2 linked regions of the Elephas maximus indicus genome follow. The protein of the gene in region 2 purifies or fractionates together with the protein of the main gene of each other region. This does not show direct contact. Links are inferred from orthologs where the notes say so. Each region holds a gene or a part of one and is shown on either strand. Other genes may lie near its edges. The genes, in order: DNAJC19 and PAM16.

Region 1 (15,341 bases), on a different chromosome or scaffold from region 2:
GTCGATACCTTGAAGGGGCTAGTTGAATACAATGTAAATATTTTCTTGATTAAAAACAGGACTGTACTTTCAAGTCTATTTTTTGCGTACTGTTAGTTTTAGAAACCCTGGTGTCGTAGTGGTTAAGAGCTATGGCTGTTAACCAAAAGGTCGGCAGTTCGCATCCACCAGGTGCTCCTTGGAAACCTTATGGGACAGTTCTGCTCTGTCCTGTCGGGTCACTGTGAGACGGAGTTGACTTGATGGCAACAGGCAATGGGCTGTTATGGTTTTTAATGTATGAAGTCTGAATTCTGTCAGTGACATTATATACACACCTGGGTCAGTTTCTTACGTCAGAGTTATGGCTAAATATAAGATTCTACACAGGTAGGTCTTTGCTTTTTACAATGTGCTGCTTTGGACCTTGAACGGCCTTTCCTCCAAATGAGTTGAGTCCCCATTATAACAGCTTGTGCTAAATCATGACATTTATCACCTTGTGCTTTAATTAACAGTTTATCTGTCATTCTCTCATTAGACGGGGTTCCTCAAGAGCAGGGACTAACTACCATGTTCACTTTACCTTAAAAAGTGCCTATTTATACGCTACGTGAGTGTATTTCTATTCAAGTGGTATACATTTATCTATAACGATTTCCAAATATTCTAGGCCAAATACTCTAAGCTGTTCTCAAATTTAAACAGAAAAATTATATAAGCCTTTGATTTACTTTGTGCTAAATCATTTTTAAAAATCAAAGCTTTGAGGTATTTTATTATAAAAAGTCAGACTCATTCATACACACAAACTAATATGTACTTTAAAATTCATTTTTTAGCTTGACCTTCTAGTAAGTCTTTAGCTTCGTTGATTTTGGCTGCTATATAAGGTGATCCTCCTACAGGAAGAAAGAAAAAAGGAACAGTTGTAAGAAGGATTTTCTCAGCTTTTGCTTGGTGAAAACCTACTCTTGTTTCAAAGATCCCTATGCTTGTCTGAGGTGAAATTAGCAGAAATGGTGATACATTTGACCAATGTGAGATGACATATTTACATGAGTATTTCTTTAAAAATGACATTTGCCTGAAGCTTAACAAAATGGTTGAAATGGGATTAAAAAAGACATCCTCATGTACCTAGAAAATAGCCCAAGTTTACCTATTCACAGTGACTCCAAGTCATGAACAACCACTAGTTGACTGTACCATGTTGTTTTAAACCATGATATTTTCAGAGGCTTCTGTGTGAGCTCTTTGTTGCAAAGTCTCGTTTGCTTTAGATCTTCCTTTTTCTGTTATAAGCTGTCCCTTAATGATGCCATCCTGCTAATCTGCTTTGCCACTAGAGCAGGGATTTTCAGAGTGTGGTCCCCAGAGTCAGACAGGATATGCCACACAGGGAAGCCAGTAGAAATGCAAAATGTATGGGCCCCACCCTAGACTTACTGCATCAGAAGCCCTCCAGGTAATGAAGCCAAAGTCTGTAGAAGAGGCTGAGAAATCAGATCACCAAACAATTGCAATTCTGTTTAAACGGTCAAAACCCTCTTTCTTAAGGAAAGTCCTCTCTTATGGAAGTAAAAGTATTTGAACATTGGAACATGGGTTTTGTGGTCTATTATTTTGGTACTCAAAGGAATTAATGTGCTTTCTTTCCACATAGCCAAAGAAGAGGGAACTGTAAAGCTGCTTGTAGGTGTATCAGAAACTAACGACACCGTATACGTTTCTATTTAGGTCTTTTTTTTTTTTTTTTAGTTCTAAGAGTCTAACAGGTAGGGGAAAACTACATTTTTAATTTCATTAACAAACGTAGCATTTCATTCAATTATGACTATAAACAAAAAACCATGTTAGCAGCAGAGTTTATGGCTCTGTCAACATTATAAATCACATCTTCTCTAAACCGCAGATCTCCAGGCATTAATGCTCACCATTACTTCTGCATTTCAGTAATTATCGGATCTGCTCAGAGTTCTGTACGTGCATTTTCCATTCAGCATTTCTTCTTTTAAGACACCAAAAACAAATGCATCCACTTTTGGAGACAGCGCTCACACACACATCTGGGCATTTCCCTTACGGTGACCACCAGAAATTGATGTAAAATTATTCCACTATTAACAGTCATTCCAACAACACATAAAACAAGGATTTATGACCACTTACCCTTGTCTGGGTGATTTAAGAGCATAATTCGTCGATGAGCATCTCTGATTTTTCCTTTATTGGCAGTAGGGCTAATTAAAAAAAAAAAAAAAGGTATTGTTTACTTCAGTCTATTTCTGAATCACATTAAAAAAAATTGTTCATGAAATCCAATTAACGGTATTACGAAACTGTAGGAAGTCTACACGACAGTGTGAAGAGCTGCTTAGAAACTTCTTTTCTTCCACTCAAGGTGAATTTTCTCAACCAGAACTAACTGCTCCTCAGAAAAGTAAGGCGTTCTTCCATAAAAGGAAAGTATGTTTTAAAAAAATAACACCCACTGCTGTGTAGTCGATTCTGACTCCTAACGACACTATAGGAGAGAGAACTGTCCCATAGGGTTTCCAAGGCTGTAATTTTTACAGAGCAGACTGCCACATCTTTCTCCCCCAGGGCAGCTGGTGAGTTCAGTGCTTTAAGCACAAGTCATTTTATAGAAAAGGAAAGCATGTTTAGTACTTACAAATGAAGGCAGAGTTTCACCATAGAACGTATGTTTATCAGTTAAAAGTATGGAGCACTGTGATTATCTGTTGATATGTTTATCAGTAAATGAAAAAGCACCATATGCTAGTATGCCTTCTCTTCTGACTTTTGTAGGGAGTATCTAGACCTTTAAAACACGTGAAAGGAGGGAGCAGTGTAGGTACAGTTGACTAAAACTGATTACATCAATCTTCTTGGGGCAACACCCCTATTAACTCCCTCTAGTTGGAGAGAGGGAAACCCTGGTGGAGCAGTGGTTAAGTGCTACAGTGTCTAACCAGAAGTCTGGCAGTTCAAATCCACCAGGCACTCCTAGGAAACTCTATGCGGCAGTTCTACTCTGTCCTATAGGGTCACTGTGAGTCAGAATTGACTTGACAGCAATGGGTTTTTGGTTTTGTTAGAGAAAGTCATTCTTACACTTCCTCATATCTCTAGAGTTGTAGAAAAAATATCAAAAATATCAGGAATTATCAGACCTTACACCCAGTATCAATGCTGCTTCCCGTTTTGTCATTTTGGGTTCAAATCCACCTCTGTAATAGCCACCACTGAAGGCCTGCAGGAGGAGACGCATTAGTAAGAAAGCTGCTAAGAAAATGTTCGTAAATGTTCATAGAAACAACAGGAATTCATTTCAGAGAACTTTTAAGTGCAATTCCCACAGTATTTTAGATTTACAAGTAGCAACAAATGATCATTTTAACGTCATTAAATAGACCCATTTTTTTAGACAACCTTAACTGTCTTTGGAAATGTAAGACAACTGAGCAGTGACTCAAAGCTGGGAACAAAGAAAAGATTATTCCAAGGTGGCCAGGGTCTAGGTGAAAATCTGATTTCAGAATATGAGTATGTTTAAAATAACAAGTGGCTCAAGACGAGGATTTAGACACCTCCTGGAGCAAGTGGTTCAAGGGTATCATGAGACTCAAGGCAACCAATAAAACACAATTAGGCAATCAGGTCCTCTGATCTTGTTATGTCAGATCCACTGGTAAAGCCTACCATCATCCTATTTTGTCACATTCGGTCACACGCAAAAATATTTACTCAACAGCATCTACACAACAGGCTGTCAGAGCCAAACTCATTCTAAACTGTGACCACAGAAGGTACCATGGTCTGATCACTACCTGCATCATACCCCACAGCCTAAGTGCAGTTAATTACAAGTGTCCAGGTAGGGGGTGCAGAGGCCACACAGTACCAGCAGATGACTTTAAAGCCCTACAGGCCTCTGGGCTTGTGAGGCAGAGCCAAGTGGGAAGGCAAGAATGTAAACAGAGAATGAGGCTGCAGTAACAATATGCGAACAATAAAGTGATGATTTCACTCCATACTAGATTATTAACAACCTCCTCCCCGCCCCCCAACACTGTCTCATAACACTGCATGTGTGAGGGCAGCACCATTACAAAGCTTGGAACGTTGAAACCTCTCTTCTGAAAAGAGGAGAAGGGGCCCAAAGAAGAGAACTTGGTAAATGTTTGGAAATTTATCCTCTGCAGCAAAAAATTAGCAAAAAAGTTTAGTAAGTCTTACAGATTTTGGTAGACTTTGAAAGACTTGTTTTACTTGAGGCTCCACATGCTTCATGGCTCGCAAAACATAACGGCCTAAAAACAAATTAAGAGTCAATAAGCAAGTCTCCCATCTCCCCCACTTCACATCCACTCCCAAACCCTAAACGAACCTGCAAATCCTGCGGCAGCGATGGTCAGTCCGACTGCAACAACAGTGCCGGCCTGGGGGAGGGAAGAGTTATTAGTATTTACTTCTCTAACGCCCAGCCGCTCCGGTCCGGCCCACTCGCCAGCCCCGAACCACTCCAAGTTTCCCTTCCATGGGGGAAACAAGGTGAAAGTACCCTGCCCCGTGATCCTTTAAACCTCTGCTCGTTGGGATTTTCACTTGGAAGAGGGCACGTCGACTTAATGGACTCCTAACATAGTGAAAACAATTATTGCTTCCCTTTGAAAATGCCCCTTTCATCCCCGAGCAAACGAAGTCACAGGAAAGTTGCCTCCGGAGCCACCGAAATAAGGCTTGCGGTGGAAGAGGAAGAACCGATGACGGGCGTTCTCTTAGGACCTGAGGAAGCACTTCCAACGACAGACGGGGGCTGGCTGACTAGGGAGAGCCCTGGTAGCACAGTGGTTAAGAGCTCGGCTGCTAACCAGAAGATCGGCAGTTCGAATCCCCCAGGCGCTCCTCGGAAACCCAGTGGGGCAGCTCTGCTCTGCCCTATGGGGTCGCTGTCAGTCGCGACTGCTCGGCGGTTTTGGGTTAGATTAAGGAGAACGCTAGTTCTTCTGAGCGCCTTTGACACCATCTGGCCTCACGGGGAGAGCGGGAGGAAGGGCAAAGACGTCCGGGGCCCTGGGAGAAGAGCTCCATTCACAGGGGCCTGAGGGGGGGAAGGAGGGCCAGGGACGGAGGGCCAGGGCCGCGGGGCGCAGCCAGAACCCCGCGTCTCCACCAGTCCTGAGCCCGGCAGCGGCTGACCCAGCCAGCGCTGCGAGGGGCCCGGGGCCGCCTGCGAGGGGGCCGGGGCTGCCTGCGAGGGGACAGGGCTGCGAGCCTCGCTGGAAGGCGGGTAGGAGCACAAGGCTCGGGGCGCTGAGCACAAGGCCAGCCTTCTCCTGGAGGCCGGGCCGAGGGCGCCGGAAGGCCACACTCACCATGGCTCCGGCTCGGCTGCCCTACCTCCACCGGGAGGGCAGCTCATCCCAGCCCAGAGGCCGCGGCCACACAGACAGCTACGGGCCGCCCGGGAACCCGCACCAAGGAAACCGGCAGCGGCGGCCGCAAAGCTAGCCGGAAAACTGTCGTAAAGGGGGAACGAGGAGGGGGAAAGGTCGCTCAGGTAGTGGCGGGCGAAGAATACGACTTCGGATTGGGTGGTGGGTGGAAGGGGGCGGGGAAAGGTCGCTCAAGCAGTGGGCGGGCGGAGAATGAGACCGGATTGGTTGGCGGGTGGTGGGCGGAGAACAAGACTTCGGATTGGTTGGTAGGTAGAAAGAGGGGTGGAGAAAGGTAGCTCAAGTAGTGGGCGGGCGGAGAGAGCGACTTCGGATTGGGTGCTGTGTGGGTGGGCGGGTCACCTTCTACCGGGCTCGAGGGTGTGGCTTCTCGGTATCCGCTGCCCTCTGGTCCCCCTTCCCCACCTGCTTCTGGGCCAAGGGCGTTTGGAAATTCTTGCAGGGGAAGGTAAGGCATAAGCAAATACTGTGCAGCCTTACTCGGACCGTTTTTCTTTCCAGTAGCATTTATAATTTCAAAAAAGGCCAAGAAAACTAAAACTATTGTGAAGGAGTCAGTGCCGACTTTCAGCGACCCTATGTGTTACAGAGTAGAATTGTTCCTTAGAGTTTTGTTGGCTGTAATTCCTATAGAGGCAGATTGCCAGGCCTTTCTTCTGCAGTGCTGCTGGGTGGGTTCAGACCTCCAGCCTTTCTGTTAGTCCAGCGCAGACTGCTTGCTCCTCCCGAGGACCTTATAACTGTCAAGGGTAATGACTACCCCTAAATACGCAATAACAGGCTGCACCATGAAGCCAAACAAATGTGTAGCAACCGAGCATAAAAAAAAAATTTTTTTTTTAAATGAACAAAACCACAGCGTATTTCAGGAGCTCCTTGGTAGCATTCTTTTATTTGAAGTAATTTTATTTAAATACGTGACTCGACAGAACCTTGTGCGAATGTTTTGGTTTTCAGTTTTGTTGGGTGAGATTACCACCTCAAAAACTATTCTGGTCATGGGATTTCAAAATTCTCACAACTGAAAAATGCTACTTAGAATGTGTCCCCTGCCCCCAAAAGAAGTAGGGTTTGTTTTTGCCACCACAGGGCATCAGTTTTGTATATCCCTTCATACATGCTTGAAAAGATAAAAGTGGCGACAATAATGGAAGTTTTAGAATGCCGTATTTGGATCATCAACGCAGACTGCCAACAGTGCTTCAGCTCTCCAAATCCAAAACGTAGGGACTTACTTCCCTCTTAGAACTTACAAAGTGTTAGGATCTGTGAACTCTGCAGACAGATTCTGCTTTCATGGGTTCCTGTGGTGTATCAGTAAAATACCACAGCTGGGCATCTTTAAACAACAGAAATTTATTGCCTCACAGTTCTGGAGGCTGAGAGTCTGAGATCAGGGTGTCAGCTGTGTTGATTCTTTCTGAAACTGTGAGGGAGAACCTGTCCCACGCCTCTCTCCCGGCTTCTGGTAGCTCCAGGCGATCCTTGGCTTGCCGCTGCAGCATCACCTGGTGTTCTTCCTCTGCCTCCCTGCTTGTGTATCTTCTCTTTTATAAGGACACCCGTCATACAGGATTAGGACCCACACCCTTCTCCAGTGTGACCTCATCTTAACCTGATACCATCTTCAAGCATCTTATTTCCAAAGAGTTACATTCATAGGTACGACGTATTTTTTGAAGTGAAGACTTCACTATATCTTTTGAAGGGACACGATTCCATCCATAATAGCTGGTTATTAGACAAATAGCACATTTCTTGACTTTGTTTTCCTCAGCTACAAAAAGATCCTGCATTTGAATCTCCCAGGGCTCCTCAGGTTCTAAGATGTTTGTGATGTGATTCATTGTCAACAAGTGATTCAGGGTGACAGCTTGTGCTAAGACACTGGCATTAAGTGTTTAACTTCATCTTTTGCTTCTCGTTCACCTAACTTTTATCCAACAACTACAAAAGCAAGCCATCATAACAGCATGAAGAATGTAATCAATGTCACTGAATTATAACATGTAGAAATTGTCGAACTGGTAAATGTTTTGTTTCATATATTTTCACCACAATAATTAAAAAAAAAAAAAAAAGAAACCCATTAAATAACCAAAAGGTCAGCAGTTCAAATCCACCAGCCACTCCTTGGAAACCCTATGGGGCAGTTCTACTCTGTCTTATAGGGTCACTATGACTTGGAATCAACTCGATGGCATGTACCTATTGAGCACTTACATGTGGCTAGTGTGACTCAGGAAACCCTGGTGGCATAGTGGTTGAGTACTTCAGCTGCTAACCAAGAGGTTGGGAGTTTGAATCCACCAGGCACTCCTTGGAAACTCTGTGGGGTGGCTCTACTCTGTCCTGTAGGGTCGCTATGAGTCGGGATCGACTTGACGGCAGTGGGTTTGTTTTGGGTTGGGTTTGGTTTAGAGTGACTCAAAGCCCAAATTTTTAATTTTATTTCAAAGGAGCCCTCATGGTGCAGTGATCAAATGCTCGGCTGCTAACCAAAAGGTCGGTGGTTCAGGCACTCCTCAGGAGAAAGATGTGGCAGTCAGCTCCCCTAGAGATTACAGCCTTGGAAACCCTATAGGGCAGTTCTACTCTGTCCTATAGGGTCTCTGTGAGTTGGAACTGACTCGATGGCAGTGAGTTTGTTTTTAAACAGCCAAATGTGGCTAGTAGCTGTGTTATTGGACAGGGCAGAGCGAGTCTCTTTCACACTAGCTTATACAGTGAGGATGACAAACAGAAAGATTAGTTTATATTGTGGTACCGAGCAGCTGACCTAATTAATGGTGGGCTAGAAACCCTAAAAAAAAAAAAAAAAAGAAACCCTGGTTACGTAGTGGTTAAGTGCTATGGCTGCGAACCAAAGGGTCGGCAGTTCAAATCCACCAGGCACTCTTTGGAAACTCTATGGGGCAGTTTTACTCTGTCCTATAGTGTCGCTATGAGTCAGAATTGACTCGATGGCACTGGGTTTGGTTTTTTTTTTTTTTGGTTACCCCACCTGGAGATTTCTGGTTTGTGAGAGAAAAATAAACTTAAGCTGTTTTTCGATGGTGTTATGGATTGAATTGTGTCCTCCCAAATTTGTATTGGAATACTAACCCCTGTACCTGTGGAAATAATCCCATATGGGAATAGAGTTTTTCTTTGTTATCTTAATGAGCCCATATCAATGTAGGGTGTATCTTAAGCAAATCACTTTTGAGATATGAAACAGCAGATTAGGCACAGAGGCAAGGAAGTACAGATGAGGAAGATAGATACCACATGAAGAATGCCAAGGAAGCAAGGAACAGAGCTGAAAAGAGACAAGGACCTTCCCCCAGAGCTGGCAGAGAGAGAAAGCCTTCCCCTAGAGCCAGTGTCCTGAGTTTGGGCTTCTAGCCTCCAAGACTGTGAGAGAATAAATTTGCTCATTAAAGCCATCCACTCGTGCAGTTCTGTTGCAGCATCACTGGTTTACTAAGGAGTAAAATGCTGCTCTAGCAAATACCTGAAACATGAAAGTGGTTTTGGAGTTGGGTAATGGCTAGAGGCTAGAGGAATTTGGTATGCTTCATAGTAAGGCTCTTGTTTGTTTTGAAGAGACTGTTGGTAGAATTGTGGACATAACGGGCAATTTTGATGAGGGTTCAGAAGGAACTGAGAGCTGTGATAGAAGCTTCTATGGTTTTGAACAGAATGTTGCTAGATATATGGGTGTTCCCTGTGCTCTGGTGAGACTTTAGAAGGAAATGATGAGCATGAGACTGGACAGTGGAGGGAAGGTGATGCTTTTTATGTGGTAGCAAGGAACTTACCTGGATTATGTTTGAATGTTTGATGGAAGGTAGAATTTGTAAGTGGTGAACTTGGATATCTGGTTGAGAAGATTTCTAAGCAAGATCTTAAACGGGCTATGTGGTTTCTCCTTGCCTCTTAGAGTAAAAAGTGAGAGGAAAAAGATAGACTTAAAAATGAACTGTGCAAAATGAAACCAGGACTTAAAAGATTTGGAAAATTCTGTTGTACAAACTAAGGACACGTGTCCTAGAATGTTCATCAAGGACATGGCTACCCAATCTTTTGTTAAAAAGATAAGCCTGTGAGTGATGGATTGAATCCACTACCACAGCAGAAAACCCATCAGCTTAGACTAAAGGGACAGAGACAGGATATCCATTTCTTGGAATTCTACAGGCAGGAAATAGGCCAATACAGCTACTTGGTTGCAAACATCTGAGGTCCTTCAAAAAAAGAAAGTACCATTCCTGGAGCAGTTCAGAAATTAGCAGAACTGTTGGAAGGAACATGGGAAGCAGGGCTGCCTCGGTTTAGAAGGGTAGAATGCTGCCTCCATTTCAAAGATGGAAAAACAGCCTCCTAGGTTTTAAAGAGTTAGACCTCTTGCACCTTAGTGCTGAAGTGTAGGACTGCCATTTGGGTGGGCCAGGAGGATCGGACTGCCACCCAAAGCAGAGGGGGTGGGACTGCCATTCCCAAGGGCCAGGAGAATGGAACCACCCAGGGCTGAGGGGTTGTGGTCACCACTCAGATAAACTAGGATAATGGTACTGCCCAAAGCCAAGGGAGCAGAGTTGCCATCCTAGTGGACCTGGATGGGGCTGATACCCAGGACCTAGAGGCCTCCACCCAAAATCCAAAAAGCATGGCTAACACCCAGAGTATGGAGGGCAAGGCCATTGCTCAGATGGTCCTGGAGAACAGCTGATGTAATTTGTTCTGCTGGGTTTTGGACTTGCTTGGTGCCCACGAACCCCTCTTTCCCTCTGATTTCTCCCATTTGTAAAAACCCTGTGTTTGTTTCACCACTGTACTTTGGAAGCAGATAACTTGTATTCTAGGTTTCACAGGTCCACAGATGGAGAGGAATTTTGTCCCAGGATGGAACATTCCCAAAGTCTCACCCATACTTGATTTAGATGATTCAGAAGATGAGATTTTAGACTTTGAGTTCACTTAAGACTTTTGGGATGATGTGATGGGGTGAATGTGTTTTGCATGTGGGGAGGATATGAGTTTGGGGGGCCAAAAGGTGAAATGTTTAGCCACCTACTTGTGGTATTTCTGTTATCACAGTGCTAGGTAACAGATGGGTTTTCTGATTACTCACAGCTGAAACATCCTAACTGACTCAGAGATAAATAAGTGGTGGGTACATAGAAAACTAAACAATGAAAAATAAATAAGGCAAACCACAAAAAGACAAACAACCCAATCAAGAAGTGGGAAAAGCATATGAACACACATTTCACTAAAGAAGATATTCAGGCAGCCAACAGATACACGAGAAAATGCTCTCGATCATTAGCCATTAGAGAAATGCAAATTAAAACTACCATGAGATTCCATCTCACACCAGCAAGGCTGGCATTAATCCAAAAAACACAAAATAATAAATGTTGGAGAGGCTGCGGAGAGATTGGAACTCTCATACACTGCTGGTGGGAATGTAAAATGGTACAGCCACTTTGGAAATCTATCTGGCGTTATCTTAAACAGTTAGAAATAGAACTACCATACAACCCAGAAATCCCACTCCTCGGAATATACCCTAGAGATACAAGAGCCTTCATACAAACAGATATATGCACACCCATGTTTATTGCAGCTCTGTTTACAATAGCAAAAAATTGGAAGCAACCAAGGTGTCCATCAACGGATGAATGGGTAAATAAATTGTGGTATATTCACACAATGGAATACTATGCATCGATAAAGAACAGTGACGAATCTCTGAAACATTTCATAACATGGAGGAACCTGGAAGGCATTATGCTGAGCGAAATGAGTCAGAGGCAAAAGGACAAATATTGTATAAGACCACTATTATAAGATCTTGAGAAATAGTATAAACTGAGAAGAACACATACTTTTGTGGTTACGAGGGGGGGAGGGAGGGAGGGTGGGAGAGGGTTTTTTTTATTGATTAATCAGTAGATAAGAACTGCTTTAGGTGAAGGGAAAGACAACACTCAATACATGGAAGGTCAGCTCAATTGGACTGGACCAAAAGCAGAGAAGTTTCCGGGATAAAATGAATGCTTCAAAGGTCAGCGGAGCAAGCGCGGGGGTCTGGGGAACATGGTTTGCGGGGACTTCTAAGTCAATTGGCAAAATAATTCTATTATGAAATCATTCTGCATCCCACTTTGAAATGTGGCGTCTGGGGTCTTAAATGCTAACAAGCGGCCATCTAAGATGCATCAATTGGTCTCAACCCACCTGGAGCAAAGGAAAATGAAGAACACCAAGGCCACACGACAACTAAGAGCCCAAGAGACAGAAAGGGCCACATGAACCAGAGACCTACATTATCCTGAGACCAGAAGAACGAGTTGGTGCCCGGCCACAATTGATGACTGCCCTGACAGGGAGCACAGCAGAGGACCCCTGAGGGAGCAGGAGATCAGTGGGATACAGACCCCAAATTCTCATAAAAAGACCAAACTTAATGGTCTGACTGAGACTAGAGGAATCCCGGCGGCCATGCTCCCCAGACCTTCTGTTGGCACAGGACAGGAACCATCCCCGAAGACAACTCATCAGACATGAAAGGGACTGGTCAGCGGGTGGGAGAGAGACGCTGATGAAGAGTGAGCTAATTATATCAGGTGGACACTTGAGATTGTGTTGGCAACTCTTGTCTGGAGGGGGGATGGGAGGATAGAGAGAGAGGGAAGCCGGCAAAATTGTCACGAAAGGAGAGACTGAAAGGGCTGACTCAAGAGGGGAAGAGCAAGTGGGAGTAGGGAGTGAGATGTATGTAAACTTATATGACAGACTGATTGGATTTGTAAACGTTCACTTGAAGCTTAATAAAAGTTATTTAAAAAATAAATAAGGCAATTGCTAACTCCAGGAAAAACAAAAAGCATTACAAGGAAAAATATGTAATCCTAGTACACCCTTTGTCTCAAATATAAACAATATTTACACAATCATGTAATTTTATTGAAGGGATAAAAAAAAAAATCCCATTGCCGTTGAGTTGGTTCCAACTCATAGTGACCCTATAGGACAGAGTAGAACTGCCCCCATAGTGGAGAGCCTGGTGGATTTGAACTGCAAGCCTCTTGGTTAGTGGCCAGAGCACTTAACCACTATACCACCAGGGTTTCCAGAGGGATGAAAGGAGGAAAAATATGTGCACATGTGCATTGGGTGATGTATACCAAACCCAAAACTCATTGCTGTCAAGTTGATTCCGACTCAGTAACTCTATAGCACAGAGTAGAACTGCCCCAGAGGGTTTCCAAGAAGCAGCTGGTGGATTTGAACTGCCAACCTTTTTCCAGTGTGCCTCCAGAGCTACAGGTGATGTGTAGAATCAAAAAACCAAACTTGTTGCCATCGAGTCGATTTCAACTCAATAGCGAACCTATAGGACAGAGTAGAACTGCCCCACAGGGTTTCCAAGGAGTGGCTGGTGAATTTGAACTGCTGACCTTTTGGTTAGTAGCTGTAGCTCTTAACCACTGAGCCACCACCATAAAAAAAAATTTTTTTTTTTTTTTTTACCACCATAGGACAGATTAAATTTTATCTTCTATGATAGGAAATCACTGAATAATGATAAAATAGAAATAAATCAAGAAACAGCCGTATAAGGATGTTAGTTCGGATTATGTAAATAAAAGCCAGAAAAATATGTTAAAAAGTACTCCAGGGATTACCTCTGGCCTGGGAAAGGCAACGGAAGGAAGAGAGATGGAGCAAAGGACTGCCTGTTCTTTTGGCAGTCCACAGAATGAAAGGGAAGATCAATTGGGAAAACTTTATTTGGGAAAATGTACCTAAAACCCACAGCCGTTGAGTTGATTCTGAATTATAGCAACCCTGTAGGCAGAGTAGAGCTTCCCCATTGGGTTTCCAAGGCTGTAATCTTCACGAAAGCAGACTAGCACTGTGGCTGGTGGGTTCGAACAGCTGACATTTCAGTTGGCAGTAGAGCACTTTAACCACTGTGCCACCAGGGCTTCTAAAAGCTACCCCAATTCCAGGTTTCAAGTAAAATCCTGAGTGCCTCAATTTTCCTTCCTCACAGCCTGAGAAGAGAGCAGAGCCTTTATCCAGAAACACGTGCTTGCTGGGTGCTATCCCTCTGGTCAAGCACATCCCAGCTCTTACTGGCTCTCTACTCACATGCTCCAGACTAAACAAGGGCAAAATTTGTTTTTATAATTGGGAAGGAAAGTAGGGAGTCAGGCTAAAACAGATACCGTGAGAAAAATGGAACAGATTGAGCCAACTTGCTTAGCCCACTGGCCAGAGACGACCTGTCCAGACTCATCTTCTCCCCTTCATAAACTTCATAATCCTGGCAAATGGAGTTTGTCATCAGGTTTTCCAAATGTGTCCTGCAGTCCACTTCCCCTGTGTTTTTATTCAAGCCGCTCCCTCCCACCAAAGCATTCTTGTCCCATCCCATTTCCATCCAGCATTTAAAGGCCCAGATCAAATGGGCCTTTTGCAAAGTGTTCTTTGTTCATTACAAACTTTTCCTGTAACCCAAACAAAAAAACCCAGTGCCCTCGAGTCGATTCCAACTCATAGTGACCCTATAGGATGGAGTAGAACTGCCCCATAAAGTTTCCAAGGAGCGCCTGGCGGTTTGGGACAGAAAATATTTTAGGCTTTGCAGGCCACATACAGTCTCTGTTATCTTCTTTGTTTTTGTTAAAATGTAAAAGCCATTCTAAGCTCATGGGCCATACTGTGAATTTGGTTCATGGGCCATAGTTTGCCAACCCATGGTCTAGGGCTATTTATCTCTCCTTTCTCTGAACTCCTGTACAATTTCGTTTGTGCTTCACATGGCATTTACCATATCTAGCTTTTATGGAAATAATTGGTATGCAAGTCTTTTTGCTATTAGCCTGAGGATCCATGAGAGTAGAAATCATGTTTCATATACTATTTTATAGTGTTTTAAACCTAGTGTTCAAAGGATATTTGTAAAATGAATGAATAAATTACTTATAATATCTTCCAGAGAATACCAAGAAAGATGTTTACCTGTTTTATTGACTATGCAAAGGCATTTGACTGTGTGGATCATAACAAATTATGGGTAACATTGCGAAGAATGGGAATTGCAGAACACTTAATGGTGCTCATGCAGAACCTGTACACAGACGAAGAGACAGTTGTTCGAAGAGAACAAGGGGATACTGCATGATTTAAAACTGGAAAAGATGTGTGCCAGGGTTATATCCTTTCACCATACTTATTCAATCTGTATGCTGAGCAAATAATCTGAGAAGCTGGACGATATGAACATGGCATCAGGATTAGAGGAAGAATCATTAAGCTGTGATGTGCAGATGATACAATCTTGCTTACTGAAAGCAAAGAGGACTTGAAGCACTTATTGATGAAGATCAAAGACTACAGCCTTCAGTATGGATTATACCCCAACATAAAGAAAACAAAAGTCCTTACAACTGGGCCAGTGAGCAACATCATGATAAACTGAGAAAAGATTGAGGTTGTCAAGGATTTCATTTTACTTCAATTAACAATCAACGCCTGTGGAAGCAGCAGTCAAGAAATGAAACAACGTATCACATGGGGCAGATCTGCCACAGAGGACTTCTAAAATCTTAAAAAGAACTTTTATGACTAAGGTGCACCGGACCCAAGCCATGGTGTTTTCAATTGCCTCATACCCATGTGAAAGCTGAACAATGAAAAAGGAAGACCAAAGAAGAGTTGATGCTTTTGAATTATGGTGTTGGCAAAGAATATTGAACTAACGGAGGAGCAAACAAATCTGTCTTGGAGAAAGTACAGCCAGAATACTCCTTAGAAGTAAGGATGGCAAGACTTCGTCTCGCTTACTTTGGACAAGTTATTAGGAGGGACCAATCTTTGGAGAAGGACATGATGCTT
Region 2 (15,591 bases):
GACTCCAGAACTGGCCTAGTTTAGCCTCCAAGGAACTGGCCCTTCCCTAACAGGAAGGCTGTGATTATGGGCCATTAGGGAGAATTAATAAATGAAAGTGGGTTTGCATTTCACAAGCAGGTGGAGCTTTGTTAGGCCTTGCATTTCACACCTGAAAGCAAAGCCCAGTTGAGGCTCCCTCCTGTGATCAAAGCCAAGGGCAGGACTGCCTCAAGCTGGTCTGCAGGCATAGTAAAATGATGGACTGCACTTGCTGACAGGTAGCCTCACCTGGCTTCTTGCTCAACACCACTGGCGGGGGTAGGGGTGGGGGCAGGAAGCCCTGAGATGGACTACTTGTCCCGGCTTGGCGACAGGGAAGCTTGATTGGGGAGCAGATGACTCCAAAGGGTCCCCTGAGCCTGGAGCACCTTCCACGGCTAACTCAGCTCTCCCCTGGCTTTCAGACCACACCTCCCTTAACAGCCTTCCCTCCCTGTGCAACCTCATCACACTGCTCTGCAGTCATCTGCTCCCTTTCTCCCCAGGGCAGTGATGTGCCTAAGTAATGAGTGTAGGAGCTTGGCTGCTACCAGAGACCACCACCCCTTGCAGGCTTCAAACCAAAGTGGCATGGGTGGCCCTGCTGTTCCAGCTGCCCAGAGCTGCACAGCCACAGGGAAGGCTGGGCTGGCCTCCCATTTCAGCATGGGAGCTGCCTGGACAAGAGGCGCCTGCCAGGGGAGATTCTGGGACCAGTGCCAATGTGTAAATCCCGGCTGTGGGACTCTGGACAAGTTCTCTAACTCCCTGAGTCTTGGTTTTCTCACCTGAAAAATGTGGCCAGCCATTAGGCTGTTGTTATAGGACTAAAAGAGATAATGCTTATAAGGTACCTGGCACATAGCCTAATGATACAGGAAGTGCTTCATAAATGTTGTCATGTCTTCTTTTTCACAAAACTTCACAGTGGCGAGGTGCTAAGGAGTTCCAGAGTATCTTCCGACATACCAGCTCATTGGATAGAGACCCCAACTCCTCAGCGGTGAAGACTGCAGAAAGCCGTAGATATTCCCCAAGAACCATGGAAGAGGAGCAAGAACACTGTTCTGCTTGTGAGCAGCCATCTAAGACACAACTCCCTGTCTCTATTTGCCAGAAGCAAGATGGTGAGAACGTAACCAAAAGTGCAGAAAAGAAACAACTCTACATGAGCCACAACCTCATCTACTCTGAGACCAAAAGAACCAGATGGTGCCCGGTTACCACCACTGACTGTTCTGGCTGGGGTCACAACAGTTGGCCCCAGATAGAATGGGACAAAAATACGGAGCAGAACTCAAATTCTTACTAAAAAATAAAAATAAAGCCAGACAAACTGGAACAGTAGAGAACACAGATCTCCCTGAAACTATCACCCTGAGACTCTCTTTAAACCTAGAACCGAGCCTAACCTGGGATCTCCTTTTAGTGAAATTGCAGAGTGGCACATAAAATAAAGGATATTATCTGTAAGGTCAGTGCCCTGCTTAAAAACCATCAGTATGAGACCAAAGGTCAACAATTACTCAAAAGCAAAGACGAGAAGAGGGCAGGGAAACTAGAGCACTGGAAACAGAACCAGAACACACAAAAAAAATGCTGACACATTGTGATAAATGTAACTAACGTCACTGAACAATTGGTGTGGCAACTGTCAAATGGGAACCTAACTTGCTGTGTAAACTTTCACTAAAAACTTATTAAAATATTGTTTAAAAAAAAAAAAAAAGAAATAATGCTTTGGTATCTAATCCCAGCTGTGCTTCTTGCTAACCATGTGGCCCGGGGCAAATTACTCAACCTCTCTGAACCTCAGTTTTCTCATCAGCAGAATGGGACAATGAAACTGTATCACTAAGTACAAAGAGGAAGAAATTGAAGATTTTTATCAACTTCTGCAGTCTGAAATTGGCTAAACATGCAAACAAGATGCATTAATAATTACTGGTGATTGGAATGCAAAAGTTGGAAAAAAAGAAAGAACAGTAGTTGGAAAATATGGCCTTGGTGATAGATATGATACCAGAGATTGCATAACAGAATTTTTCAAGACCAACGACAACTTCTTCATTGCAAACACCTTTTTGCAACAACATAAATGGTGACAATACACATGGACTTCACTGGAGGAAATACACAGGAATCAAATGACTACATCTGCGGAAAGAGACAACGGAGAAGCTCCATATCATAAGTCAGAACAAGACCAGAGGCCGGCTGCGGAACAATCAACTGCTCATATGCAAGTTCAAGCTGAAGCTGAAGAAAATTAGAACAAGTCCACGAGAGCCGAAATATGACCTTGAGTATAGCCCACGTGAATTTAGAGACCATCTCAAGAATTTAGAGATGCACTAAACACTAATGACCAAAGACCAGAGGAGCTGTGGAATGATATCAAGGACATGATACACAAAGAAAGCAAGAGGTCAATAAAAAGACAGGAAAGAAAGAAAAGACCAAAATGGATGTCAGGAGAGACTCTGAAAGCTGCCCTTGAATGCTGAGTAGCTAAAGCAAATGGAAAAAATGATGAAGTGAAAACTGAATAGAAGATTTCAAAGGGTGGCACCAGAAAACAAAGTATTATAATGACATGTGCAAAGGCCTGGAGTTAGAAAACCAAAAGGGAAGAACACGCTAGTACTGAAGAAAAAATTCAAGCCTTGGGTTGCAATACTGAAGGATCCTATGGGCAAAATGGAAACCCTGGCGGCATAGTGGTTAAGAGCTATGGCTGCTAACCAAAAGGTCAGCAGTTTGAATCCGCCAGGTGCTCCTTGGGAACCCTATGGGGCAGATCTACTCTGTCCTTTAGGGTCACTGAGTCGGAATCGACTCAATGGCAATGGGTTATGAGCAAAATATTGAACGAAGCAGGAAGTATCAAATGCAGATGGAAGGAATATTACACAATCACTGTACTAAAAAGAATGTGTCGACATCAACCATTTCAGGAAGTAGCCTATGATCACGACCTGATGGTACTGAAGGAAGAAGTCCAAGCTGCACTGAAGGCATTAGCAGAAAACACGGTTCCAGGAATTTTTGGAATACCAATTGAGATGTTTCAACAAACTGGAAGTGTTCACTCACTTATGGCAAGAATTTTGGAAGACAGCTACCTGGTCAACCAACTGGAAGAGCTTCATATTTATACCTATTCCAAAGAAACGTGATCCAACAGAATATGGAAACTGTTGAACAGTATCATTAATATCACACACAAGTAAAATTTTGCTGAAAGTCATTCAAAAGTGCTTATAGCAGTACATTGAGAGAGAGCTGCCAGAAATTCAAGCCAGATTCAGAAGAGGACATGGAACTAGGGATACCACTGCTGATGTCAGATGGATCCTGGCTGAAAGCGGAGAATACCCGAAAGATGTTTACCTGGTGTTTTATTAACTATGCAAAGGCATTCGACTGTGTGGATCATAACAAATTATGGACAACACTGCGAAGAATGGGAATTCCAGAACACTTAATTGGGCTCATGAGAAGCCTGTACATAGACCAAGAGACAGTCATTTTAAGAGAACAAGGGAATACTGCATGGTTGAAAGTCAGGGAAGGTGTGCGTCAGGGTTGTATCATTTCACCATACTTATTCAATCTGTATGCTGAGCAAATAATCTGAGAAGCTGGACTATATGAAGAACATCACACCAGGATTGGAGAAAGACTTATTAACAACCTGCATTATGCAGATGACACAACCTTGAAGCACTTACTGATGATGATCAAAGATCAAAGCCTTCAGTATGGACTGCACCCCCACATGAAGAAAACAAAAATCCTCACAACTGGACCAATAAGCATCATGATAAATGGAGAAAAGACTAAAGTTGTCAAGGATTTCATTTTACTTGGATCCACAATCAATGCCCATGGAAGCAGCAGTCGAGAAATTAAACAACACATTGCACTGGGCAAATCTAAAAGGCTGCAAAAGACCTCTTTAAAGTGTTAAAAAGCAAAGGTAACCCTTTAAGGACTAAGGTGTGCCTTACCAAAGCCACAGTGTTTTCAATTGCTTCATATGCATATGAAAGCTGGACAACGAATAAGGAAGACTGAAAAATTGACACCTTTGAATTATGGTGCTGGTGAAGAATACTGAATATACCACAAACGGCCAGAAGAACAAGTCAGTCTTGGAATAAGTATAGCCAGAATGCTCCTCAGAAGCAAGGATGGCGAGGTTTTGTCTCACATACTTTGGGTATGTTATCAGGAGGGACCAGTCCCTGGAGAAGGAAATCATTCTTGGTAAAGCAGAGGGTTACTGAAAAAGAGGAAGACTCTCAAGGAGATTGACATACTGGTTGTAGCAATAGGCTCAAGCATAACAAGGATCGTGAGGATGGTGGAAGACCAGGCAGTGTTTCATTCTGTTGTACATAGAGTTGTTCTGAGTCAGAACTGACTCAACAGCAGCTAACAACAAAGATGATGACACAGGAGGGCTACAAGACCCTCATGGAGCAATGCCCGTAAAACAGGTGACAGACAGGCAGTGCCAGACCAAGAGCAGGAGCACAACAATATCGTTGCTTCCAGACAAGACTCTGCTTGGTATTAATGGTCTGGAGACCAGACAGTGAAGCTAGCCTCTCATCCACTTATTCAGGACCCAGAGGCACACAGAATGCCAGGTCAGGCCTGTGCTTAGAGCTGTGGATTCCACACTGAGCAGAGCTCTGGCCGCCACAGCTAAGTCCCTGGGTGGTGCAAATGTAATAGAAGCTGTATACTTCTATTTACATATACGTAAATGTAAACACATGAAATGTACTGAAAAGGCAAGGCTGTGGCTCCTAACCAAAAAGTTGGAGATTCAGGTCCACCCAGAGGTGCCCTGGAAGAAAGGCCTGGCAAGCTACATCCAAAAAAGCAGCCACTGAAAACACACTGACACGCATGGGTAACTGTGAACTGGAATCGACTCAACACCAACTGGTTTGCTCTGTAAAAACTACATAAGAAAATATATTATGAAATCCTCAATCCAGAGCCTGGCACCTGTAGGCTGTCGGTGTCAGCTATTAGTATTACCCTATTATTGTTCATTAAGGAGTGGCCTATAATTAAAGCAGTGGTTCCCCAAAACGGCTGGGTCTGAATCACTCGGGGATGTACTACTATCTAGAAATATACATATTCGTATTAACATTTATCGGACCTCCAGGGATAAGGCTCAAAAACCTGTATTTTAAAGGTTCCCCCCGGGAACCGGGCGCAGCCAGTGTGGCCCAGGTCGGTGGACGGCTGTAGGCGCCAATGGTGTGGTAGAAACGCTCCACTGTCGGTGCCGCTGGGCCTGGTTCGAGTCTCCGTCCTGCCACGTTTTGGGGAAATTCTCGGAGCCCTTTTCGTCAGCTTGGGAACGAAGGTCATAATACAGACGGCGCTCACTCTGCAGAGCTAAGGCGCTCAAGGAGCGAGCAGGTGCTATGGACCACATCTATCCCCTACCTTTGGGTGCCTGCGGCTGTTCGACAGGGGCTGGCACACGCGGTGCACGCAGGCGACCACCTCTACTGGGTATTTTCCGGCGAGCCAAGCCCGCCCTGCCTTCAAGCCAGGCACTTACCCCTCGCCTGGCCCCTCCAGCTCGCGGCCGGCCCGGGAACGTTCGCAAAAGCCGCCCGAAGTCTCGCTTCCCGGGGCGGCCCACGGGGCGGACGTCCCCCACAGCCCGGCCCGGGGCCCACTGCCAGCCGCCCCAGCCCTGAAGCGGCTTCCCTCCCACGGGCAGTACCCGGTTTCACGCCTCACCATCGCGGCCGCTCTGCCTCTGGGGCAGAATCCGCCTTCTGTGTCCCCAGCCGCCCGGGTTCTAGGGCGGCCAGGAGGTCAGAGGTCACGGGAGGTTGGGAGAACGCGTGCGCAAAGCCACGCCGGGCATGCGCGCCGCGTCCGCCCTCCAACAGGCAGTACACAGGCAGTGACGTAACACGATGGGGGCGGAGCCTGCCTCAGACCCGACTCAGGGGACTACCGAGAGCGGGCGATGGGGCTTCCCCAGGACCCCGTTTGCTAGAAGCAGCGAAATGCATGGGTCAAATGTGGGGCAACTTCCTCCTTTGATTTTGCCAAAATATTTTTTTTTTTATTTGAGGTTAAAACATTATATAAAATAAACATACAACTCCCCACCAACATAATAGCGCACCCGTTGCCTGTGGAATGGACTCCGACCCATACCAGAGCAGACCTGCCCCCATAGGGTTCCCAAGGCTGTCGTCTCTACGGAAGCAGACTGCCACATCTTTCTCCCGAGTATCCACTATGGGTTCAAACTGGTGACGTTCTGGTTAGCAGCTGAGCGCTTAACCACTGCACCACTAGGGCTTCTTTAAATGTCTTTTTACAAATCTGTCTCCTGCTGATTGTTTCTCTGGAGAACCCTGGGTGGAATGAATGAATGAACTCCCCAGCAGCATGCAGCTGAAAGGCCTTAGGGGCAAGGTGCAAGGTGAAGTGTGGGACTGGGCAGCCCAGGGCCAAACTTCTCTGACAATACTCCCCTCATCCCCTTCTCAGCCAGCACAGAGTAAGCAGCACAGACGTGGTCAGCTTAGAAAACTTTAATTGCTGAGAACATATGCCTTGTGCAGGCCCATCCTTGTGGGGCTCATACCCCTTTAACTGGGCCATCAGCTCTGGGGTGCCCACTTCTCCTGGCTTCAAGCCTGGAGAGCAGGAGCAGTTGGTCCCAGGCCCCTGAGGCTGGTGCTGCACCAAATGGCCTGGTGAAGGGCCGGCCCCTGAGGCTCTTGACCAGAACTGGGGCAGCAGGCAAGACAGGTCGGCCTGTAGGAGCTGAAGGTGCTGAACAAAGCCAACCCAGGCTGCGACTAGCCCACATCGGCATGGGAGGCGGGGCCCAGGGCCTGCTCAGGGACATGCTTATTGACCCCCATGTCCCCCTTGGCTCCACATGCTAGCAGGCAGCTGAGGAGAAGCAGCTGGTCCCAGAGAAAGCAGAGGTGTGGACAATCCCCACAAGTGGCTGGGGAGCTAAGAGGCCATGGAAGGGCCAAAGGCCCGAAGGAAGCCAGGCTTCTGGGGATGAGGTGCGCTGGGGCCATAGAGGCACCTTCCAGTCTGAGGATGAGACATGAGGTCTGCACAGGCCTCAGGTGGTCTAGGATGAGCAGCGGCAGGTGAGGCCAGACCAGAGGTGAATGGTGCGTAGGCTAGTCCTAGGGGGATAAACAAAGACGTGGGAGGGAAGTGGAACACACTGCAGGGGCGGGGGAGCATGGTGATGCTGGAGGAGCTGAAGCACTCCGCAGGCATGGGGAGGGAGAGTGGTGATGCTGGAGGAGATGGAGCACCCTACAGGGGTGGGGAGGAGGATGATGATGCTGGAGGTGGAGAACCTTGCAGGGGTGGGGAGGAAGGGTGGTGATGCTGGAGGAGGTGGAGCATCCTATAGGGATGGGGAAGAGGGTGGTGATGTTGGAGGAGGTGGAGCACCCTGCAGGGGTGGGGAGGGAGGCAGGGGTGGGGAGGGAGGGTGGTGATATTGGAGGAGGTGAAGCACCCCACAAGGGTGGGGAGGACGATGATGATGTTGGAGGAAGTGGAGCACCCTGCAGGAGTGGGGAGGGAGGATGGTGATGCTGGAGGAGACGAAGGACCCTGCAGGGGTGGTGAGGAAGGTGGTGATGCTGGAGGAGGTGGGGCACCCTGCAGGGGTGGGGAGGCACAGTGGTGCTGGGGCCCATCCGTCTACTCACCCACTCGTCCTCACCCACACCCTCAAAGGAGTCCTGGGGGAGCGGGTCCTCCCAGTTCCCTAGCTTCGCCACCATGGCGTTCAGCAGCTGAGAGTGTAGACAAGAGAAATGTTAGAAAGGGAACAGACCTCTGACCCCAAGAATGTCAGACCCCACAGTTTACGTGCAACAACGTCGTGAAGTTAGAACGCTAACAAAGCTGGTGGGTTTTCATGGAAAAGGGCACAGAGACAAAGATGGGGGGTCACAGACACAGAGACACAGGCACGAAGCGCCAGAAACACAGGTGCAGGGAGGCTGTCTCCATTCATTGCCTGCAAACTCTCAGATGTGCACCAGGGTCCCCAATGCACTTGGGTTCAAACTTCTGGCTTGCTCGGTTAAGGCTGGACAAGGCAGGACACTCACAGCCCTTACCTGGCCTCAGGGCCCCGTGCTGTGTGGGCAGCAGCAGGTCAGCACTCAGGGCTCTGGGAGGTGTCTAGACCAAACTTTGCGGGGTGAGGGGGGCGCGGGTAGAGAACTGGATACTGCCCACTCCCTACTGGTGGCCCTCTCCCACACCTACCTCTTCCTTCTTTTGCTGATCTGACTTCTCTTCTAGGTAGAGTGCTGAGGAGGGGGCCCGCCGGGCAGGGGCCTCACGGGGAGCCTGGCTCACTGGGGCAGGGTAAGGGCAGGCATCAGAGAGCACCCTGGATAGGGGGTACTTGCCTAAACCTTAGGAGCCAGCTGTAGGGGATTTCATGGCAGAGACCCAAGAGGTAGCACTGGCAGTGACTGGACCCATCGTTCACAAGGCCTGCACTGGGCATCAGGATGTATGTGTGTAGCAGGTGGGGACTTGTGACAGAAACAAAGACCATGGGCCCTGCCCTCCAGGGACTCAAACACTAAGTCTGGAACACCCACCAACTCCCACCATCCTTGGGAGTCCAGAAGTTTCTGTGTGCCAGCAGAGACAGAGATTGGACTTGGGCCTTCTGCCCTTTCCTCCATCCCCACCAACTCCCCTGCTTCTTTCCACCCAGACCCGGTCCCTCATCCCACCTGGGGTCATGCCGGGAGGCTGCAGGCAGAGGAGCCGGGGCTGTCCATTAGCACCTCCCAGCCAGGCCTCAGCACTGAGCACCGGCTCCCAGCTCATGGCTGTGTCTGGGAACACGTCATCCTGGAAAAACTCTTTCTGCAGGAAGGAAGGAAGGGGTCGTCCTGAGGTACTGCCCAGGGGTACTGCCCAGGGACTGGGGTGCGTGGTGATGCCTGGGACCCTCCCTACAGTCTAGGGGTTCCAGAATCTCAGCTGAATGAGGAGGCAGGTGTCCCCAAAGAGCAATGAGTGGAGAAGTCTGGGGATGGGGCCAGGCCCAAAGCCCCAACAGGTGCTGAGGAGGGAGGCTGAGTATCGGAGCCCTTGGTCCCCAACCTTACCCTGACTCGGGGCAGCCGAAAGGCTACAGGCTCCAGGGAGGTCTGGCGGAGCCTCAGGCATCGGGCAAACTCCACTTCCCGCACGTTACACTCTGTCTTGGGCAGGAGGATGAAGCCCTAAGGAAACCAGGGAAGTCAGAGCCAGAGCTGGATCTGGGGCTTCTGGCTGGGCACACAGGGACCCCAGAGGACCAGTCTTCTTCTCCTAGGACCACCAGGACCACACCTGTCCCTAGTTAGCGGTGTGCTGGTAACTGTGAAACCACGGGTCTCTGGAGGAAAAAAGCCTTGATTTGTAGCCTTTGTCTATTTCCATGGTGTAAATATTCCCACCATGGCTAATTTCAAGCTAACATGTAGCAATGGAAAGAGATCTGCAGTACACAATCGTGTGCTGTATCCACCACATAGATATAACCCAGTGCCATTGAGTCGATTCCGACTCATATCGACCCTATAGGACAGAGTAGAACTGCCCCATAGAGTTTCCAAGGATTCGAACTGCTGACCCTTTGGTGAGCAGCCGTAGCACTTAACCACTACACCATCAGGGTTTCCAATAGATATGATAGATGCAAATAACTTCAAGAGCACAGATAATACTAAAACCTGGTACAATTATCAGGAAGTGTCCAGTTTTGAGTATTCACTACCTTTGCTTTTAACATAATGTATTCAATTTTAAGCTTATATAGGGAGACCCTGAGCAATGCAAATGTCAATATGCTCAACTGCTAAGTGACTAGTAGGAGGTTAAGTCTGCCTAGAGGTGCCTCCGAAGACAGGCCTGGCAACCTACTCCCAAAAAATCAGCTGTTGAAAACTCTAGAGAACACAGTTCTACTCTGATACACATGGAGTTGCCATGAGTCAGATTCGACTCAATGGCAAATGGTTCAGTTTATATAATTTTTAATAATAATAGAGTTTAACAACCAGCCTGCAAAGTTCCTGGAAATGTCACCAGCTGTTGGGGACTGGCTCCAGCCCACCCCCAGCCCTAACCTTAGCAGGGTCCTTCTAGTTCCAGGCAGGCCGAGGTTAATGACCCACTGACCTCACAGATGCCTGTACTTCCCACATGGCCACCAGAGGGCGTGAGAGCCCTGAGTCCCATCCAGGAATCCTATCGTGAGGATCCATCTTTGGTGGCTAGACTAGGCCCCCAGGGTTGGGGGCTGGGTGAGGGGCTCACCTTGTGGAGGTCTGGCGATGTGAAGCTGTTACACTCCAGGAAGAAAGGGGCCTCAGGGAGCAGCTCATACAGGAACACCCGGGTGTCGCCCTGGAGGGGGAGGTAAGAGTGGGGTGGCCAGTTAAACCTCACCGACCCCCCCACCTTCCTCCCACCTCCTCTCACCTGCCCACCACCCCACCTGGCTCACCCCAGCCCACCTTGCCCGTGAGGAGCACTAGGCCCGTGTCTGGGTCATAGCTGGGCAACAGTGTTGAGGGGGCCACATCCAGGCCTAGCACGGCCAAGGGGCCCCCAGCCAGGGCCTCAGAGGCATACAGCAACAGCTGGCGCTCACTGCGCCTGCAAGGGGGGCAGGAGCAAGTCCTTAGAGCGGGAGGGGCCTGGGACAGGGCAAAGACTCCAAGGGCCCTATTGTTGTCTGGAGGAAGCCTGAGGGCCAGTGGATGCTGGGAGAGGCCCCCGCCCACCCTCTGCCTAGTCTGGCCCTCAGAAATCCCTTCCTGGCCAGCTGCCCTGCCTCTGGCCCCTCCTCCTGGCTGCTGCCCCCTGCCCCTCCTCAGCACTGGTCTCGGTCCCATGGCTGCTGTGGCATCCGCAGTCTAGTCTTCAAGGCCTCGCCTGGCCTTCCAGGACTTCCCTCCCCACTTTCTGCCTTTTGCTCTCTGCTCCAGCCAGGTTGGCTCAGCATCCTGGTCCTTGAATGGCCTCTTCTGAGGTCTCTGGTGACCACCCCTTCGTGACCCAGGTCAGATGACATCTCTTTCAGAAGGCCCTCTTTGATCCCTCCTCAGATGAGCCAAATGCCTCTCAGGTCACTCCAGTCTTCCTGGTTCTGTATTCCCTGCACATCACCTGGCTCCCTGCCAGGCTGGGCTCTCAACCCTCTGGGTCCCCAGATGACTCCCCCTCCTCACCTCCCTCCCACCCATCCATCATCTATCCACCCAACCACCCATCCTCCATCTATCCATCTTCCATCCATTCATTCATCCACCCACCCACTCATCATCCATCCATCCATCCACCCATCCAAATAAAGGAGGTGCGTGTGTTTGGAGAAGGGGGACACAGGTGGTTGCCAAAACCAGGAAACAGGAATGGTGGTCCCTTAGCCCTCACCTGTCAAAGCCAGATACCAGCAGACAGTGGCCATCACATACCCAGACAATGCGGGCTCCACGGGCCCCCTCAGGCCCTGGACCTTCCTGTTGGGGTACAGCATGTGAGGCCCAAGTTGGGTCTCGGGGCTGCCCCCAGTCCTCACTTGCTCACCTGCAGGGGCTCAGGGTGACTCCGGGGCTCATAGACCCGGACATGCCCATCCTTGCAGACAGTGGCCAGCTGCTGCCCATCTGGACTCCAGGCAAGGCCAAAGATCTGGGGGTGGGTGGGGCCATGAGAGGTGGCTTCTTGCCTTGTGGCTAGGCCCCCCACCTCGAGGCTGCCCCACCTGGTCCCGGTGGCCCCGTAGCCTCAGCCGCTCAGCTCCAGCCTTTAGGTCCCAGATGCAAACAGTGAGGTCGTAGGAAGAAGAGGCCAGGACATCAACCGCCAGTGGGTGGAAGCGCAGGGAGTATATTTTCTCCGTGTGGCCTGGGAGTAGGCAAGGGGTGACACTGAGCCCCTTGGGAGCCTCTGCCTGCACCCCGCCCTCCCTGGTCCCACCTGACCTGTGAGTATGGCCTCGGGCGTGGTGAGCACTTCTTCCAGGCCCTCTGCAGGCACCCGCCACAGTCGAATCCTGGCATCCTCCCCAGCTGCAGAGGCCAGTGGCTCAGCATTGCTGTGGTCGAAACCCCTAGCTGTCCCCTGTCCCTATTCAGGGCCCAGGACCCTCCCACATGGCCTGATGCCCACCTTCTTACCTACAGCGAGGCGATGCAGGTCAAAGGGGTCCCAGGCAAGGTCGGTCACGGCTGCCCCATTCTGCAGCGTGGGCAGCGCAGTGTCAGGCAGGCGGCCAGGCTTCCGCAGCTGTGGGAGGTGCCCCCCCATGGCCTGTCAGTACCAGGCAGGAGCACCCATTCCCCTGGGCCTGCAGCGGAAGCAGCATGTCTGGGCTCCCCTGCAGCCGACGTCCCCACCACTGAGTTGCCCAAGCTCTCTGCCTCAGCTACCTCATGCTCTGAGCCCCAGGTGCCAACTGTGAGGCCCTGGAAATGGGGACAGGGCAGCATGGAATGGTGAGAAGAGCTCAGGCATGGAACGCTGAGGGCCTGGGTCTGACTCCCAGCTCTACCACTTACACAGCTATGTGACCTTGGGCAAGTCACTAAGCTTTTCTGTGCCTCAACACCTTCATCTGTAAAACAGGGATCAGTGTGGCACCCACTGCATGGGGAGGCTGAGCGGGTACCTGGCACATGATGGGCACTTGGCAAAAATGAGCCAGTGTGAGTCTCAATGCCCTGGGTGACTTGGCTGCCACCTGCAGGCCCTCACCTCGAGCACAGCCACCTGCCCACTACTGCTGAGCAGGGGCACCGCCACACGCAGCCGGTTGGCACAAAAGCCGTCACTCTCGCCAGGTGTGGTGAGGTTGAGCCCCTTGAGGTTGGTGATGTGGCTGTCTCGGTGCAAGACGGTGCCATAGGCGTGGCGGAACTTGGAGCTAGGACCTGGTGGGCGGCAGGGACATGGCCATGCATGAGGATGCCCGTGCCCACCTGCCTGCCTGCTCCTGTAGGAAGAGCCCAGGCTGAGTCCTGCTGCTCTCACTGTGTGGAGATGCCCCGGTGTATACCTGGCCTGCCCTCTGCTGACCATCTGAACACAGTGCACACAGGAGTAGGACCCACTGGGGTAGACCCTTGCCCCTCTGTGGCCCCATGGTATCTTGGTGGAACCTCAGAGTTCCACGGGACACAGCTTAGAAACCACTGGGTTAGACCATCTTGCTTTGTAGGTAAGACCTACCATCCTCACTTTATCCTCTTCAGGAACGATTCCTCACTCTACTTGTCAGGCAGGGTTGGGGAAGGCAGGGGTGGGAGAGGGGGGTGTGGGAGGCAAGGGTGCAAGAGGTGGGGGTGGATGCAGGGGCAGGGGAGGTGGGGGTGGGAGTGGGGAAGGCGAAGGTGGAGGAGCCAAGGGTAGGGGAGCTAGGGGTAGGGTAGGCAGAGGTGGGGGAGACGGCTAGGGGAGGTGAGGGTAGGGGAGGCGGAGGTGGGGGAGGCAGGGGTGGAAAAGGCAGGGGAGGGGGACATGGGGTTGGGGAGGAGGGGGTGGTAGAGAAGAGGGTGGGGGAGGCAGGTTGGGGGAGCTGGAGGTGGAGGAGGCAGGGGTGGAGGAGGTAGGGGTGTGAGAGGCGGAGATGGGGGAGGCGGGGGAGCAAGGGAGGCAGGGGTGGGGGAAGTGGGGAGGACAGGATGGGGAAGTGGGGGTAGGGGAGGCAGAGGTGGGGGAGTTAAAGGTGGGGGAGGTGGGGGTGGGTCTGGGTACAGAGAAAGGGGAGGACTGTTTGGGTGTGGGTAGAGGAGGGTCTCATGGAAGCATCTGTCCAGTGCACTTACCCAGCAGGCTCTGCAGTGACCTCTGGCTGAAGCTGGTGCCGATGCCGCTGGTGCTGGAGCTTGAGGGCCCCAGGCTGGAGGGTGTGGAGGGTGAGGTCAGTGAGCTGGGTGGTGAGGTGAAGCCATCCTGGGAAGCAGCACAGGGTCAGCGAGGCATCTAGGCATCTGGGGTAGCCACTCTGGGCCTTGCCCAGACTGTGGGCCCCTCGGCCAGGCATGACCCGCTGTAGGGCATGGAACAGGGGAAGGAAGGGAGCTGGGGGCACAACCTAGATGCTGATAGGAGGCAGCAGTGCGAAAACACAGGCAGTGGGCTGAGCTAAGACTGGGGGGCTGCAAGGGGCAGCTGCTGGCTCCAGCTCTGTGGGAGGCCAGCCAAGATCTTCCAAATTTCAAGAGAAGCCAGAAATCCAGATTTTTATTCAAAAACTCCTGCTTTGTAAATGTTTGCTCAATTAAATAACACTAGTTTAAGTCCTTTCCTTAATGACGTGTATTCTCTGTGTATCGGATGTGACAACCACAAAGTTAAAGGCCATTGGGTGGGCGTTGGCCTGGGCACCCTCAGGGGTGTCAGTGGTGGGGAGGACCCCTCTAACATCCAGACCAGGGTCCCCATGCTCCTGGGGGAGTGACATGGCAGGGTTGGCCCGGCACTTACACTGGGGTCTGTGTCTTCTATCAGGGTCTCCGTGGGCTGGGCGGGTACAGGGGGCTGCTCCGTGGGGGGCAACAGGGTAGACATAAAGCTGGTGTGGGGTCGGTGGGCTGGGTTGAGGCTGACCCTCTGCACCTGTGGGAAGAGGATGGCCATCAGGTGTCATGGTCAGCTTAGGGGCCAGGGCACTGGGGGGCATGGGACACCCTGTCTGTTAGGAAGCCTTTGGAGGCAGCTGCCTGTGGGAGTGGTGAGCAGGCTGGGTCCTACCTGCTGGTTGCTCCCAGCCCACCAGGCCTGGGGCTCAGAGGCAGGCACACAGCCTGTGGTGTCTGGGAACAGGTCCTCATGGAACTCCACAGTCTGGTCGACAGAAGACAGGCAAGTGGTCAATGAGGCCCCAGGCCCCCCAGGCCTCCCAACCCCCGCTCAGGCCCCCCTCACCTTGCGGGGTACATGGTAGCTGATGGGTACGATGGCCGTGTCGCTCAGCTGCAGGACACGGAGCACCTCGCAGCTGAGGACGGCCAGTGCCCGCCGGGGCACAAGCGCTGCTCCTCGCAGGGTGTTCTCCAGGATGCACTGGTTTACTGGGGCGGGGGGAGGGGCACCACAGGAGGGCAGTTGGCGGCAGGAGAGAAGAGAGAGGGAGGGGGCAGGAAGAGGGCAGGGGCTTACCTGGGCTCAGTGCCGGCTGCAGTGTGGTCACTTCGTAGCAGAACAGCTGACTCTCACCCTGGAACAAGCTTGTCCTGAGTTCTACCCATGGACCACACCCAGTGGCCTGGAATGCGCCCAGGTCTAGCACGAGCTCTGCACGCTGCCCTCAAGGACCCAAGCCCAGAAACGGCAGACTTTACTGAGCCCTCACTATGCGCCGTCATAGGTGAGTCCTTTATAGATTTGACCTCGCTGTCCCAGAACTATACGTTTAGCATTTATTAAGTACTCACTGTGTACTATGCCCAGCTCTATTCTCTGCCTTGTCTTCATGAAGCTAAGGGATTTCTGGTCAACCCA

The links.
Region 1: the proteins of PAM16 (region 2) and DNAJC19 purify together in Homo sapiens (affinity purification with mass spectrometry; 3 studies listed by BioGRID and IntAct, with this or other methods). This does not show direct contact. The link is inferred for Elephas maximus indicus from reciprocal best matches to the Homo sapiens genes PAM16 and DNAJC19.

The regions. Positions count from the first base shown.
Region 1 is NC_064819.1:34,018,940-34,034,280, reverse strand, and holds DNAJC19 (mitochondrial import inner membrane translocase subunit TIM14), read right to left. Parts: upstream 5,505-15,341; 5' UTR 5,367-5,504; coding exon 5,364-5,366; intron 4,428-5,363; coding exon 4,376-4,427; intron 4,299-4,375; coding exon 4,225-4,298; intron 3,239-4,224; coding exon 3,159-3,238; intron 2,223-3,158; coding exon 2,152-2,222; intron 882-2,151; coding exon 811-881; 3' UTR 741-810; downstream 1-740. UniProt on the Homo sapiens protein: Mitochondrial co-chaperone which forms a complex with prohibitins to regulate cardiolipin remodeling.
Region 2 is NC_064830.1:62,382,234-62,397,824, forward strand, and holds the start of PAM16 (mitochondrial import inner membrane translocase subunit TIM16), read right to left. Parts: upstream 5,916-15,591; 5' UTR 5,806-5,915; coding exon 5,803-5,805; intron 1-5,802. Other genes in the region: CORO7 (coronin-7), read right to left, coding at 7,227-7,232, 7,773-7,859, 8,341-8,432, 8,823-8,958, 9,204-9,320, 10,399-10,488, 10,599-10,740, 11,521-11,606 and 10 more. UniProt on the Homo sapiens protein: Regulates ATP-dependent protein translocation into the mitochondrial matrix. Inhibits DNAJC19 stimulation of HSPA9/Mortalin ATPase activity.